2 linked regions of the Lonchura striata genome follow. The protein of the gene in region 2 purifies or fractionates together with the protein of the main gene of each other region. This does not show direct contact. Links are inferred from orthologs where the notes say so. Each region holds a gene or a part of one and is shown on either strand. Other genes may lie near its edges.

What was found.
Region 1: the proteins of UBR2 (region 2) and UBE2B purify together in Homo sapiens (affinity purification with western blotting; 3 studies listed by BioGRID, with this or other methods). This does not show direct contact. The link is inferred for Lonchura striata from reciprocal best matches to the Homo sapiens genes UBR2 and UBE2B.

The regions. Positions count from the first base shown.
Region 1 is NC_134617.1:9,522,995-9,530,528, forward strand, and holds the start of UBE2B (ubiquitin-conjugating enzyme E2 B), read right to left. Parts: upstream 3,082-7,534; 5' UTR 3,015-3,081; coding exon 2,971-3,014; intron 1-2,970. UniProt on the Homo sapiens protein: E2 ubiquitin-conjugating enzyme that accepts ubiquitin from the ubiquitin-activating enzyme E1 and transfers it to a E3 ubiquitin-protein ligase. In vitro catalyzes 'Lys-11'-, as well as 'Lys-48'- and 'Lys-63'-linked polyubiquitination.
Region 2 is NC_134605.1:13,034,717-13,042,855, reverse strand, and holds the start of UBR2 (E3 ubiquitin-protein ligase UBR2), read right to left. Parts: upstream 3,339-8,139; 5' UTR 3,231-3,338; coding exon 3,153-3,230; intron 1-3,152. UniProt on the Homo sapiens protein: E3 ubiquitin-protein ligase which is a component of the N-end rule pathway.

The sequences.
Region 1 (7,534 bases), on a different chromosome or scaffold from region 2:
AAGTCATATATATGAAATACTTCCACCTGCAGATATAATTTACCAGTAATATCCACATTTTATACATATTTTCTCATTCTAGATTAGAATATACACAAAGCATTACATGCAGATTATCAACACTCTGAAAGACAGATCTACAAGGCAACACACATCAAGATTTTCTCGTGTTTTACATGGAGACACAAGGGCACAAGAGGTCTGATTAGGTGTTCAGGGAGCAAAGGATTAGCTGTAAGAATAACTTATAGCACCCGGACAGCTGGGATTTATGGTGCTACACTGTGAACTATGAGAGAGCAACTGCTGCTGGCTGCCACAGTGAATTGGAGAACAAGCTGCAGCCACAACCAGGAGCTGAAATCCAGGCAGTGACACACACACACAGAGCACTCTTGCTGGGACTCAAGGCAAAGGACCGTCAGCGGAGCTTTTCCTGCATACCCAGACCCATGCATGACAAGTGGCTAAATTTGGTATAAGCCTATTTCAACTGACAAGCTGATTGCTTCAAAAGGGAGCAAAGGGGAAACCTGTGTGCTGCTACCCCCTCTTACCAGTCCCACAAACGTGTTTATCTCTAAAGCAATTACGGGAACATGTGAAATTATTTTTAGTTCCTTAATCCTCGGACTAGGGAAAAGCATGTTACCTACTGAAAGCTTCACTAACAGAAATATGTACTGCAGCCAGAGGGCAGGATCCAAATGCCCCCCCTGCCCATCACTGCTCCATATTAAGGATCACAAGACCCTGATGAATGTACACCAGCAGGCCCCAATCAATCCACCTGCTCAAACCCCCTCAGTGACAGCTCCTACTCCCCTCACCTGTTTTGCCTCCGGAGTTATCCAATAAGGAAAATGCAGTGACTGCCCTTGTGTCACAAACAACTCTTGAGTGTTACCATGTGGCTCGATAATATCACAGCACACTTATAAACAAGTCACTACAAAAAGCTCTGCAGACCAAGGGACAAATTCTCACTAAATGCCATATGCAGATTTATTGAGAGCTGTCAGCAGCACAGCCAGGCAACCCTCCCTGCACTTGCCCTGCCTCAGCCTGGGGTAACACCGTGTGTTGTCCAAAGATGCTGAGGGCCCTGAAGCTGCTCAGAGCCCCTTTAAACTCTGTGTTTACATCTCTGCTCTTTGAGCACACACAGTCCAGACCGCTGAATATCAGCAGCATAAACCACCTACTATTTTGGTCAGGGAAAGCAGGAACAGGACTTCTTCCTACGTGACAGCCAGGCTGCAGGCCAGCAGCAATGCCTGAGTGTTAGCCTGCCAAGTGCATCTGGGAGATGACTTTGGTTTTTAGATCAACTTCAAAGCATGTGTGCACCCTACTTGTCACAGGGTCTAACTACAGAACGGATCTGGCAAGGACTGCAAATAGGACTAATCCTGAAAGTCCTAAACAGTAGGGAAAATGTGGTTTTAGTACGCCCTTTTTATCAGCAAAGTAAATAAATAACCTTTTATTTCTTTTGGTTTATTCAAACAAATTAGAGGAGGTAAGAAATCTGCTGAACTCTTCTCTCTTGACTGCTCCTGACAATCACAGTATGCAAAAGCAGTTTGTATTTATTGAAGTGAATCAGAGTTCACAGCACACCGTCTGTTCTTTCAGTATGAAGTATAATAACATAAACAAATACACAACTTGCAGCACAGAAGAGCAGAGTAAAACAAAAACTAATATGAAAAAGTTACATAAGTTTTGGAATATAAAAGCCGCTAAATATATGACTGATGGATTTGATTTACATTGTCTACTTGGTTATATTTTTCCACAGCTTTAGAGTCTTCTCTCGAGCCTTAATTCCAAAATTATTAAACCAGTCCCTGTAGGAATACAAAAGCATAAAACCCACATCTGATTGCAATCTTGAAAAATTGAGGTAGTCAGCCTGAAAAAAAAAATCACTGATTCATCTGTGTAACCAAATACAATAAAAAGTCTGAATATCCTGTTTTGATTTGAACAGGAATCAAGCAACACCCACTTAACAAACACCAACACTCGCACAAACAGCAGGGGAGGGCTCCACTTCCCAAAAACCTCCTACTGCTTCTGGATTCACGAATCAGATTTTTGTCGCTGTTGCTGTTGTGCAGCCACGTAAAGCAACTACAATACACGTCAAGTGTTAACTGATGTGTCCGCAGGGCCTGGTATAACATAGCCATGCTAAAAAAAGAGACACTATCAAAGCTGACTCACCTCCAACTACTGCTGAGTGACCCAGCCTGGAGAACTCTTACTGTACATCTTACAAGGAAACCTCCCACCCCTTTCCACACTCTAAGTATGTTTACGTGTCAGACTGGAAATAATGTATTCCAGAGTCAGTGGTTCAGTCATTAACATTTAAAAGAGTGCAACTAATAAGCGCTCCTTTAGCAGTTCGCATATATTACACAAGACTCCTCATGATTGCAAACTTTAAACACAGTATCACATGATTGTGCATAAAAACACAAAAGGTCATTTTGGCTCTTACTACATACAAACGAAGCGTTCGCCAATTCTCTGCGCTTCGTTTCCAGGTGCCTATCGCTACGAACTTCTTTCCAGAGAGACCCTGCGACCCAGCAAGCCTGGAACGCTTCTGAATTCCGGCCGAGCCATTCCACAGCCGGAGCCCGCGGGTGGCGGGCCGGGCGGACGGGCACGGCCGTGCCAGCCGAGCCGGGCCGAGCCGGGCCGAGCCGGGCCGAGCCCGCGTCCCCCCGCCAGCCCGGCGCCCCCGGCCCCGCGGGCGCTGCCGGCCCGCCCCGCTCGCAGCTCCAACTTCTATCCTCAGACGCCCCCAGCCGTCGGCGCCGGCCGAGCCGGCTCGAACAAAGCCGGCGCTGCCCCCGCTCCCCCCGGCACTCCGCTCCCCTGCCCGGGCGGCTCGGGGCCAGCCCCGGGCCCGGCAGGAAGGCGCGGGCAGCGGCGTGTGCGGGCCCCGCTCACCTCTTGAAGTCGCGCATGAGGCGGCGGCGCGCCGGGGTGGACATGGCGGAGCCGCGGCGCCGCCTCCCGCCCGCGCCCGCTGCGCCCGCACAAACAACCCGCAATGGCGGCGGCGCGCGCGGGGCGGGGCCGCGCCGGCCGCACCACTGCGGCACCGGGGGGGGCGGGACCGCACCATCGCGCCGCGCGGGGGGTGCGCGGGGAGGCGGGTGCGCGCGGCTCCGCGCTCGGCGGAGTTTGGGGAGAGGCAGCGGGAAAAGGGACTGGGAAAGGGACCGGGAGAGAGCCGGGAAAGGGTCCGGGAGAGAGCCGGGAAAGGGTCCGGGAGAGAGCCGGGAAAGGGACCGGGAGAGAGCCGGGAAAGGGACCGGGAGAGAGCCGGGAAAGGGTCCGGGAGAGAGCCGGGACTGGACCGGGAAAGGGTCCGGGAGAGAGCCGGGAAAGGGTCCGGGAGAGAGCCGGGAAAGGGTCCGGGACAGAGCCGGGAAAGGGTCCGGGAGAGAGCCGGGACTGGGACCGGGAGAGAGCCGGGACTGGACCGGGAAAGGGTCCGGGAGAGAGCCGGGAAAGGGACCGGGAGGGAGCCGGGAAAGGGTCTGGGAGAGAGCCGGGAAAGGGTCTGGGAGAGAGCCGGGAAAGGGTCCGGGAGAGAGCCGGGACTGGACCGGGAAAGGGTCCGGGAGGGAGCCGGGAAAGGGTCTGGGAGAGAGCCGGGAAAGGGACCGGGCGAGAGCTGGGAAAGGGTCCGGGAGAGAGCCGGGACTGGACCGGGAAAGGGCCCGGGAGGGAGCCGGGAAAGGGTCTGGGAGAGAGCCGGGAAAGGGACCGGGCGAGAGCTGGGAAAGGGACCGGGAGAGAGCCGGGACTGCTGGGACAGGGACCGGGACAGGGTTCGGGAGCGAGCCGGGACTGGGACCGGGAAAGGGTCCGGGAGGGAGCCGGGAAAGGGTCTGGGAGAGAGCCGGGACTGGGACCGGGAAAGGGACCGGGAGAGAGCCAGGAAAGGGTCCGGGAGAGAGCCGGGACTGGGACCGGGAAAGAGTCCGGGAGAGAGCCGGGACTGCCGGGATAAGGGCTGGGACAGGGCTCGGGAGAGAGCCGGGACTGCGGCACCCCAGGAGTGCCGGGACAGGGTCCGGGAGGAGCCGGGAGTGCCCAGCCCGGCGCTGCCCGGGCGTTTCAGCCCACGCGTGGGGCCGGTGGGGTTTTCTCCTTGCCAGACACACCAGCTCACTGTGATCAGCTGAACGTCTGCAAAGTACAGAAACTATTAGTCGTGGTCAGATTGCAAGGTTGTACATTTCGAGTCTTGCTTCTATGCTGTGTATTCAGCCCACTCCCACTATTTGCAGTAACTGGAGGTTTTAAAAATTTAGTTCTTATCAAATTTTAATTAGGGATAATGGTCCATTTTGCCATATGGGCCTCTCAGCATCTCTCGAAGTTCCCTCTAAATACAGGCTGATGTCCTGGCTCTCAGCCCTTTTTAAAAATCCCATTACTCCAACAGACAGAGCAGGTCTCTTTGAAGTCGTGACCCAGTTCTTACAAGCAGTCTTGGAAGTTATCCCTGAACTTGGATTTGTGTGGTTACATGTGCCTCCCTGCTTTTTTTTTTTCCAGATGATTTTAAGGAGGTCAAACCATCATGGGACGTATAATGAAATGACAGAAATAAACACTGCCTGTCCATTCCCTTTGCCTGCAGCCATCCAGGTGGTGGAACAGCATCAGCCCAGGGTTTAACAGCACAAAGCTCAGTACTGCCTTTTCACCAAGTTAATGCCAGCCCTGCTGCAGCAGCACCACTGACTGGGTTATTTATAAGTTGAATTCACATTTCACATGGGGTGGGATTTAACTCTGCAAAGATTTATTCAGACCACTTTAATCCAATGTCCCACCTTAGTGAAAACAGTCAGATGGCAAAAGTGAGGAATTCACACAAAGCCTGGTACTGCAGGGGAGCAAGCTTTTCCAAAAGATTTGGTAATAAGAAACTATAATACCCCAGCCACTAAAACATTATTCCCCACACTAGTGAGGAATGGTTCCTGGCAAGCAATCCCCTCCTCTGGACTCTCCTCCTCCTCCTCATCCTCCCACCACACACGTTCCAGTTTTCATTCCACTGCTGCTCCTTTACCTTTATCCAGCTTTTATTTCACTCCTGTTAACTTGGGAGGGAGAAAGCAATCTGTGACAACCAATGCAAGCTTGGACCTGTACACAAAATGAAGGTCACAACAACATTGATTAATTCAGTATTAGCAGGCACTGCTTCAAAGCCCAGACAGGGCATCCCCTGTGCCCAGGGCAGCTCTTTGCCTTTGAAGCCCAAGTCACACTCAGCCTGTGCAGGGAAATAAACAAAAAACTGAACAGCAGCACCAAGCTGGATTGAATCTGAAATCCCTTGTTGTTTCCACATGGCTTGGGAACTTTTTCAGCAATGTCTCATCAGGGACAATATTTATTCTCCTCTGACACCACTGAGGAACAGTGTATTGATGTTATCTAATAGAATATTTTAATCCTACCTGGCAGTAACATGTGTAGCAATCAGTCCCAACTAACCATAAAATATAGGTTCTGGCCTTGCAAAGGTGGTTTAATATGTCTCAAAATGAAATCTGCACTAAATATCCACTTTAGATTTGTATCTGGTGATAATTATTTCTAGTACTTCCTTGCCTAATGAACTTAAATGCATCACTGCCATTATAATGTCACTATGGGCATTTTAGTTCGAATGTTTTCAATTTATCATGTACTTGTAACACACTGACTTCCATTGATGAGTGGAAAGAACAATTGCAATACTAACTTTGTCATTTGGTTCCTGGAGAGGTTTTTTTTTCCTGTGCAACCATTAAAGTTATCCACTGTAACAGTGCTTCAAACACTTGGAAAAAATCCTTTCACAATCTGTGGTCTAGAACAGAAAGTAATGTGTTCATTCCTAAATAATACTGGGATGGCTATAACAACTTCCTGATCAGAAAGCTGTTTCAAGTTCAATTTTTATTTCTATTTTTTTTAATGCCATTTGATAGGGCATTTTTATAATTTTAAAAATATTAATATTTTAATACATTTTGGTTTATAGTTTTATGATTTTAAATATCAACATAATTTTAATAATTTAATTTTTTACAGCACAATTTATATTAATCTTGAGTAAGTACTAGATCCTTGTGCAGCATTTCACAAACCAAAACAATTTCTAAGGTAACTTTGACCCATCATGAGAGGATGTGTGTGAGCTGGGTGAGTTCCTGGTGTCCTGCCTGGGAGCTGCTGGAGCTGCTTCCATCCCGGAGCTCTTGCGTGTCCTCAGCCCCACCCAGCCATGGGAGAGGGACAGCAGAGCTGGCTGAGAGGCTTCTCCCATGTGAAAAGCGCCAATCGCTTGTTTAAAAGTTTTAAAAGTTTAATGGTAATAAAATAGTTATAAAAAAACATTAATAAAAATTAGGGCAATAAGAATTTCGACAATCAGAGCTAGGACAATAAAGGACAATAAAAAGCAAAGAATTACGGACGTCTGGATGCTTTCCTCAAGAAAACATGGCTCGCTAACAAAGGATTAACTCTTAAAAGCAATAGCCTGTTGCATATTTATATATCTCATACATGATGCAAATATTCCTTTCAAACTAGGAATTTTTTCTGTCAGCTCCTCCCCTCATCTTATAGATGAATCCTTTTGGCTCTGGGGTGTCTGGAAGAAGGCTGTATAGTCCGATCAAGAGGCAATAAATCTTGTCTTAGGATTTTTTTTTTTTTTTTGTCTTGTTGCTGTTATCTCTATGTGAAGAGTTTCTTGGGTTATCTTATCCATTCCTTATGCTGGTCACAAAAATATGAACAGCACATAGCTTCTATTTTAATTTTCTTCATTAAGAAGATTTACAATAATGAAGAATATTTACATCATATAGCTTCTATTTTAACATTATGCTATAATCTAAAACTATATTTAGCACACTACATAAAAAGGATGAATACAGTACTACAAAATAACTTTCCAACATAACACATATAGTATTCCATTTAATATTTGTGAAGAGCCAGCCATTTAGTCTGCATTTTTCACAGGCCATCCTTGGAGCTCCTTTTGTCTCTGAGTGCCTGGAAGAAGGCTGTATGGTCTGATAAAGAGGCAATAAATCTTGTTTTAGGATTTTTTTTTTTTTGTCTTGTTGCTGTTATCTCTATGCAAAGAGTTTCTTGGTTATCTTATCCATTCCTTATGACCAGCACATAGCTTCTATTTTAATATTCTTCATTAAGAATATTTACAGTAATGAAGAATATTTACATCATACAGCTTCTATTTTAATATTATGCTATAATCTAAAACTATATTTAACACACTACTTAAAAGGATGAATACTACAAAATAACTTTCCAACATAACACATACAGTATTCCATTTAATATTTGTGAAGAGCCAGCCATTTAATCTGCATTTCTCACACGCCAGCTCTGTGGTTTGGGGCCATCCTGGGAGCTCGCCCAGTGCCCAATTCTCCCTGAAAAGCTCAGCTTGAGTTCAGAC
Region 2 (8,139 bases):
AATACTGCAAGTGTCCACTGATTAAATCTTGTGTTACATAAACAGCCTCAGCATGCCATTTTTCATTGTAAATGTGACAACCAGATGCCCCCTGGCAACTTTCAAAAAAAGAGTTCAAAATCAACCTAAAACTGTACAAGAAAACACAGAATTCATTATGCCAAAATAAATGGGTTTGGTGATCAAATGTTAGAGCTTGATTTACTCTGAATTATTTATAACTTACTCTAAAGAACTTATGTTTGAGATAACAGTTGTAGTAAGTTCCTCAGGATACAGACATTCAGAGTCAGCTGAGCATCTGTGCAGACTGGCTACATTTTTGCCTTTTTTTAATACATTGAAGTAGTTCCATTTATTAGGTATGTTTTTCTGAAGTAGAACTTGGTATTTTAAAAAACCCTAATTTGTCAGGGTGCATTCTTCATTTCTTTTTTCCTAAGTTTGACTTCTTAGAATAATGATTGAACTGCTTAAATCTTTCTACATTCATCTAGCTTTGATGGTCAAAGCCCAGTTTTTTCCCAAGGAATTCCATGGGAAGAGGATGCCAAAAAGCCTTAGCCAAAAAAAAGGTAAAGTTTTAAATAAAAAATTTATTTTTCTCACCAGTTCATTCATCTTTTCCTCTCCTTTCATCAGTTTTGCCAAATTGCTACTACTGCCAGGAACCGACCCAATCACAGTGGCAGTGACTTAATCATTTCCATGATTTCCATTTAATAATCTTGGTTTTGCATTATTTTCTATAGCATATGCTAGTTATTAAACTGCAGGAATTTTTCAGCAAAATATCTTTAACATCAGTCTTTTAATTCAGCAGTATATTACTAATTTCTATCTAGAAAACACACAGTGCATACTAGCTACACTACAAGCTCAGACGAATACCTAGACACAGAAAATTCTTGTTCCTCAAGTAAATGGCTTTCCCATCTCAAAAATTCTGGGAGTAGCTATGTGAGAGTTAGGTGTGGCAATGATGAACATCATCACACCTAAATCTGTTTGTGAAGCCAGTTCTATACACACAACCGTGCATACAGCTTTGGAAATCAGATCATGGATGAAATAATACCAGAAGGAAATCCAGGCTACTAGGACAAGGAAACAGATGTGACTCTAAGAGCTGCCAGGAAGGTCTGCAAAGGTCTGTTGTGCAAGTAAGACTGTAAATAGAAATATATACATAGGTATACATACGTTGCATTGTCTTTCTAAATCACTACCTGGGGAGCACTGAACTCCAGAAAAGCTACTCAAAACTTCGGAATTTGCTCTTTCACAAAAGCATTCTGCATTTAGGCAAGATTTCAATTAGTGTTTGTCTATCCTCTAACCTGAAATCACATGCAAGAAATGCTAACATTCTACTCTCCCAAGAGAGGTTTTTTATTAAAAAGGGAAGTGTGCTCCTCTTCACTTCCTCCCTCCTCACACTTATTCTCCTGCAACAACTTTAACTGCCCTGAGAGAAAAAGAATGTGCAAAGTATTGATCAAACACCTTACATAAATAAATACCTAATGGTTCATCAGGGTTTCTATTAAATTCCCATCTAAGTAAGAGACACCAGGAGAACAAAACGTAGAATACTAATAAGCCATAAAATAACTCACTTCTCTGTTTCAAAAGCTAAAAGCTATGATTTATGAGCTTTTTAGCTACATGAAAAAAGAAATACTTGCAATGTAGGTTCCTGTTATGTTAAAGAGAATTTATTTTTATTATTTTTGTTCTTTGGAAGTTTATCATTAAGTTGTTACCACAACAAACTGAAGACTTAAGTGCTGTAACTATTGCTTTGGGATGGTATTTGTTTTGTAAATACTGGGCTATCGGCAAAGTAATGCTATCAGCAAAGGAGGCAGAAAAACCCACTAGATTTGAATGATAGATTTCAGAATTGGATCTTGTGCAGGTGATTACAGATAATAAAAATGAGATTTGACTACATTTAAGCTGGCACTGCTACCTACAGCAAATTCCTAAACGCATTCCCCTGGGTGCATGATTGCCTTGAGTTTACCTACAGTGTGACCCAAAAAAACCATCTGCTATTCACACAGAAAAGGTAATTTGGGCTCAATTTGGACTACTTTATAAATGTTTGATGAAATTATTTGGTTTGCTGTAGAAAAGAAGGAAGACTAATCCTGGAGCTAAACTAGCTAGGATATAGCTAACTATACACATTTGCCCATCTAATCATACGTTTGTCTGCACTGAAGATATACAAGCATAATCTGAGGATAATCTGAATTATAACAGTCTTTTATTTTCATTTGGAAAGCAGCCAATGTAATTCCCACTGAGACACACACAGACAGCTCTTCAAGGTTTTATCCTACCAATATGCACATGAGCAGTCTCAATACGTTTAACACATACATCCAATTCCTCAAATGCCCAAGTGTCTAAGTGGACAAACATTTATGTTAGAAACAAAACTTACTCCTAAGACTTTACCTTCGACACTACATTCCTCTTTCAACTACTATTTGTAAAAGCAGGAAAAGTATATAAAGAGAAGTAGATTTCTTCATTTATTACACTGATTTTACTAATATTTCCTCTACAAGCACCCCATTCTAATAATCCTAAGATTAACTACTGCAAGCTTTTCCAGAACCGCATCTTAAATAGTGGGGAGGAAGGAAGAACCCTGTAATGGCACTTCAACACTGTACAGCGTATTTGGGGTCAGACATCCACCTAAATTAACAGGGAGGGGGATCTGCTCAGGTCCAGGCGTGACTGCCGGCAGAGAGAGGCGAAGGGGCAGCAGAGGGAAGGGAACTTCAGGAAGCAATTACGGAAGGGGCGAGATGCCCGGCCGCCCCCGGCAGGGGATGGCCACGTCCAGGCGGCTTCCAGGAGCCACCTGCGGCAGCCGGCACAACAAGAAAAGCTGGCTGATCGCTGCCATGGACTTCGGCTGCGGCAACAGCGACGCTGGCGACGACAGCGCGCCGAGGCCGCGGCGGGACAGCGCTGCCGGCCGGGGCTGCCCTCAGAGGGCGGCTCCGCTCCGGAGAGCCCGCTCGCCCCGCGGAGCGGCCTCGCCCCGGCCCCGGGAGCGGCGCCCAGGCCGGTGCCTGCCGCGGCCTCCGAGCCCCCGCTCCCTCCCCGCGCCGGGCCCGCCGCCTCACCACGGCGATCTCCTCGGCGGAGCACTCCAGCAGGCTCTTGTCAATGGCCTGCACCTCCGCCTCCAGCTCCGCCGCCATCTTCTCCCTCCTCCTGCCCCCTGCCCCGCGCCGCCGAGGCCGAGGCCGGGACAGCCGGAACGGGGTCCGGGCGGCCGCCCAGCCCGGGGAACACACACTTCCGCCCCGCCTCCCGCACGTCACCGGCCGCCGCGCCGCGCTCTGGGGGCTGCAGTCCTTCCCCGGCGCCGCCCGGCCGCCGCTCGGCGCTCCGTGCCCGCGGCCGTCTGCGGGACCCGCCCCCGCCCGCCCTGCTCGCCTCGCGGGCTGGGTCAGGCTGGAAGCTGCCACATCTGGTCCAACCTCCCTTGCTCAAGCAGGGTCATCCCACAGCACACGGCACAGGTTTTCTTTCCGACGGTTCTTGAGTATCTCCAGTGAGGGAGACTCCACAACCTCTCTGAGCAATCCGTTCCAGTGCTCAGTCACTGCACTGTAAAGTTCTTCCTCTAGTTCAGGTGGAAGTTCTGTGCATCAGTTTCTAGTCCTTGCCTCTTGTCCTATTGCTCGGCACCACTGAGAAGAGCCCAGCTCCACCCTCTTGACACCCTCCCTTCACATCCTGATAGACATTGACGAGGTCACCTCTCAGTCATCTCTCCTTGAGGCTGAACAGGCCCAGCTCCCTCAGCCTTTCCTCATAAGAGAGATCCCCCCAGTCTCTCAGTCATCCTCACTGCCCTCCATGTGACCTGCTGCAGAAGCTCCACGTCTCTTTTGTACTGAGGAGCCCAGAACCGAACACAGCACTCCAGATGATGCTTCACCAGAGCTGAAGAGAGGGGCAGGATCACCTCCCCTGACCTGCTGGCAATGCTCTTCGTTATGCACTCCAGGATTTTGTTGGCTGCCTTGGCCCCAAGGACGCTTGTTGAACACTAGCACCATCAGCTCGTCGTTCACCAGTCTCCCGCAGTGCAAAGCGATGTCTGGGACTGGGGTAATTTCCAGTGCGGCTGGCAAAGCTGGGTGCCCCTCTCAGCTGAAATGCCCTTGTCAGCACTGCCAGTGGGCAGTGAGGGCTTCCTGGAAGCCTCCAACATTCAGTGCGGGTGGAAAGAAAATAAACCAGTAAATTATATGAACATGGCAACTGTGGCTTTAAGACAAGTATTACTAAATAGCAGAAGCCATAAATTCTGTTGCTCAGCTTCCAGGGGACAACCCAAACTGAGGTGTGGCTTGCTCATTCAAATGAGGATGCCAGTCTGCCTCTCAAAAAACAAGTCAACACCACCAAACCCAGCAAACAATCATCCTCCATAACTCCTTTTCAGCACATTCAGGCTCGACATCTTACGAGGACTTTCTGAAAACCTGTTGTACCACTGCTGTACCCATGGGCTTGCCTTGCACCTCTGTAATTACAGCTGGGCCCAAACCAAGCAGACGTGTCTGACCGTGCCTGCAGCCATGGGCGCCTGAGTGTGCTGAGGTTTTTAAAACACACCTTCCTTCACTTGCTGGCAACTTCTGCATGGACATAACCATCATGCACAAAGGAGTACTATTTCGACCTCGCACATCCTATCAGCCTTCATGTCTGAGATAAGGACCCATCCAACAGGACCCTCACCTAGCAAATCCTGCTGAGGAAATCTCTGCTCTGGAGAATTTACACTTCCAAATCTAGACAATGCATGGGAGGGGAATAAATATGTAGGAAAGGCAGACCAAGTCATAACTGCCTGCAGGTGCCTGCAGCTAAAGGCACCTTGAAATGTTGCCTTTGCCAAACAGTGCTAAGTTAAAAAAGCTGTGCATTGAGAGTGAATGACACTTCACATCTTATATTCCTTAAAACTTGGTAAGCATTCTCACAGTGAGTATGCATAGTTGCTTCTTCCCTTTTTTATCTCCTTTCCTCTCCCTCATTCTCTCCTCAATTAATAATTTACATATCAAATTTCCCAAGAATAAGTATAAATTCCTTTTGTATGTACCCTTCCTATATGCAGGGTACATATTTTACTATATTTTTATCTCCTTTTCCATTTCTTAAGTAATTGTTCTTAAAACACAGAAAATAATTATATATTCCTTAGAAGATCAGTAAAGCCCACGCTGTTTCTCATTCATGCACTGTGCATGCCTAAGGAATACAGAAGATGAGTCTTCTTTGGAAAATAGCGCAGGGTGAAGGAAAGCTGTATGACTTAATTGTTTCCCTTTCTGGGCTGCATGAAGAAAATGTTAGAAAAATCCTGGAGTTTACTAATGTGAAAGGCATCTTATTTTACCTAGTAAAGTGGGCAACACAAACAGAAATTAGCCTGCAAAGCCATTATTTCTATATGAACATAACAATTTCCTGAGTATCTTTTTCTACAACTTTGGGAAGAATTTTCCATAACATTTAGCCTGTGTCATTTACTTCATAAGCAAAGACACCATTCAAACTCAGGAGTAATAATTAAGGTTTAGGAGACTGCCTTTATCTTCTGCCAAAAAGCCTAACTCTTACCAAGTGTATTACTGAAAAAGAGAAATCGAGGCAATTTTAATGTTTCAGTAGGGTTAATATTAAACTTTCATGGCATTTCTCTGCTCTAGTTGAGATGTTTCTGGGTCTCACCATGCTTTCAACACAAAAGATAGCCCATAGAATGCTACAGACCATGGTTATGAAAGATGCAGATGTCATCTATACCTCTTTCATCTCCTGACCTGTCTGTTCAAGCACTGCTTGCCTCTGCCATTAAAAAATAAAAAGGAGAAAAAAATAAAGAAACCAAAACCTAAATGGTAGTTTGACTGGGGTTCAATTAATTTAATTGAGGTCTAATAAATGCTGTGTCCATTAGGAACACAATGGTGCCCTGGTTGAACCCCAGACGGCAACCAAGCAACACACAGCCACTTGCTTACCCCCCAACCAGTAGGATTGGGGAAAAAATTGGGAGGGTAAAAGGTAGAAAACTTGTGGCTTGAGATAAAGACAATTTAATGGGTAAAGCAAAAGCTGCACTCATAAACAAATAAAAGCAAGGAATCAGTTCACTACTTCCTAAGGGCAGGCAGCTGTTCAGCCATCTCCAGGAAAGCAGGGCTCAATCACATGTAGCATTTATTTGGAAAGACAAACACCATCACTCAAAAAGTTCCTTCCTGTTCCTGCTGCCCCCCACTTTGTACAGTGAGCATGACATCCTATGGTCTGAATATCCCTTTGGTCAGTCGAGGTCACCTGTCCGAGCTGTGTCTCCTCCCAATACCCCATGCACCCACAACTTCCTTACCAGTGTGGCAGCACAAAAAAGACGTTGGCTCTGTGTAAGCCCTGCTCAGCAATAACAAAAAACATCTCCATATTATCAACCCATATTATCAGCATAAATCCAAAATAGAGCCCCATACTAGAGAACCACTGGGAAGAAAAATAACTCTACTCCATCCTAAACCAGCACAATAGGCATAACTGAGGAAATTAATATTTGTCACAGGGGATACTGATGGTTCCTTTCTTAAATCTGTTTTAGAAGGTACTAATGAAACACCCACTAGAAGACTGCTACTTGATGCACCAGAACTCACCCATGGCAGCCAAGCTGAAGCCCAGCTGTGTCCAGTAGGGCACACTCCAGAAGGCTCAGCATACAATAATTCTTGTTATCCTGGCTGAATGCTGCTTGAACGTGATCATCTTCAGGGCCTGTTGCATTTTCAATTAGAAATGGATGAAATCAAGAGGTAAAGGGATGTTGGAGGGAATTTTTAAGCAGCTGGTTTGCTGGTGTGTTCATTGTACCTTAGATGCAGTCAATTTGACATAATTGTATTAATTTGAATGTAAATATAAAAATACTGCATATCTAGACTGCGGGGATAAATGTCTATAAAGAAGACTCAGAAAAACAACATGCTATTTAATGGAGTTTTCTGTAAATCATTATGAAAGGTGAGTCTTGTGAGAAGGATTCAGAAATGCTTCAATTCTTTGTGGAATGTTTCCTGGTACAGTTAAAAAAACTTTTTAAAAGCACTTCCGTGGCTGTTCACTAAAACAATGATGCATTTGCAACTTAATTTGAGGTTTAACTATTAAAGCAAATGGTCATCATTTTGCTGCATGAAGTTGATATTACATACCTATATCTAAAACCATCACTTTGAAAAGACATTTGTATCTCCTAAATCTTCCCTAAGTCAGCAACCCTTTCCACTAAAAAAAAGTATGTATCTAAATGTAGAATTCCGGTTTGTATTTTCAGTAACAGTAATTTTGATGAAACTGTTTGCTTAGTAGATACTGAATGACCAAAGTAGTGATTTTTACATAGCAAATACAATTTTAAAAGCCATTATCATTTACATGGTTTTCCTCCCTTCCTCTTCAGTGCCAGATGAGGTAGGTTTGTAGTCACCATCTCCTTCATAGTCTTCAGATAAATTCAGATGGTAATTCTTTTATTTCTGTGCTGCCAATTCCAAAGACAAATTATGCTGACCAAAATAGAATTTTTCCTGTGATAATGTTAATTAAAAGATGAATTGTGAATGAGGTGAACAATGACACCCAGTACTTGGTGGATTGATAAGACACAGCTCACTAAGCAAGACATTATTCAGAACAAAAGAGCACACGGTAATCTGCAAACACAGGTTATTTTAGGGATTTGGTTCAGAATTAGAGTATTAAAAATACTGTCTGACAACCTGTAGGTGATTCTTTGTTCCTTGGAGGCACTAGTGCTATAATATCAGCCCTTTTAGCAATAAATCCAAATAAGCTTATTTCTCTTCCCAGCTCTGTCTTTGCATGAGCTTAGATTATAAGTGTATAATATTCTAAGCATGATGTCAAGGAAAATTATTTTTAAAAATATACTGAAAGCAGAGCATATTGCATAGTAACAGTGAATATAGGAGGCATAATGAAAGCATAAAGATACTGTGGCCATGTTCCCGTCTGGTGAATGCTCTCTGCAAG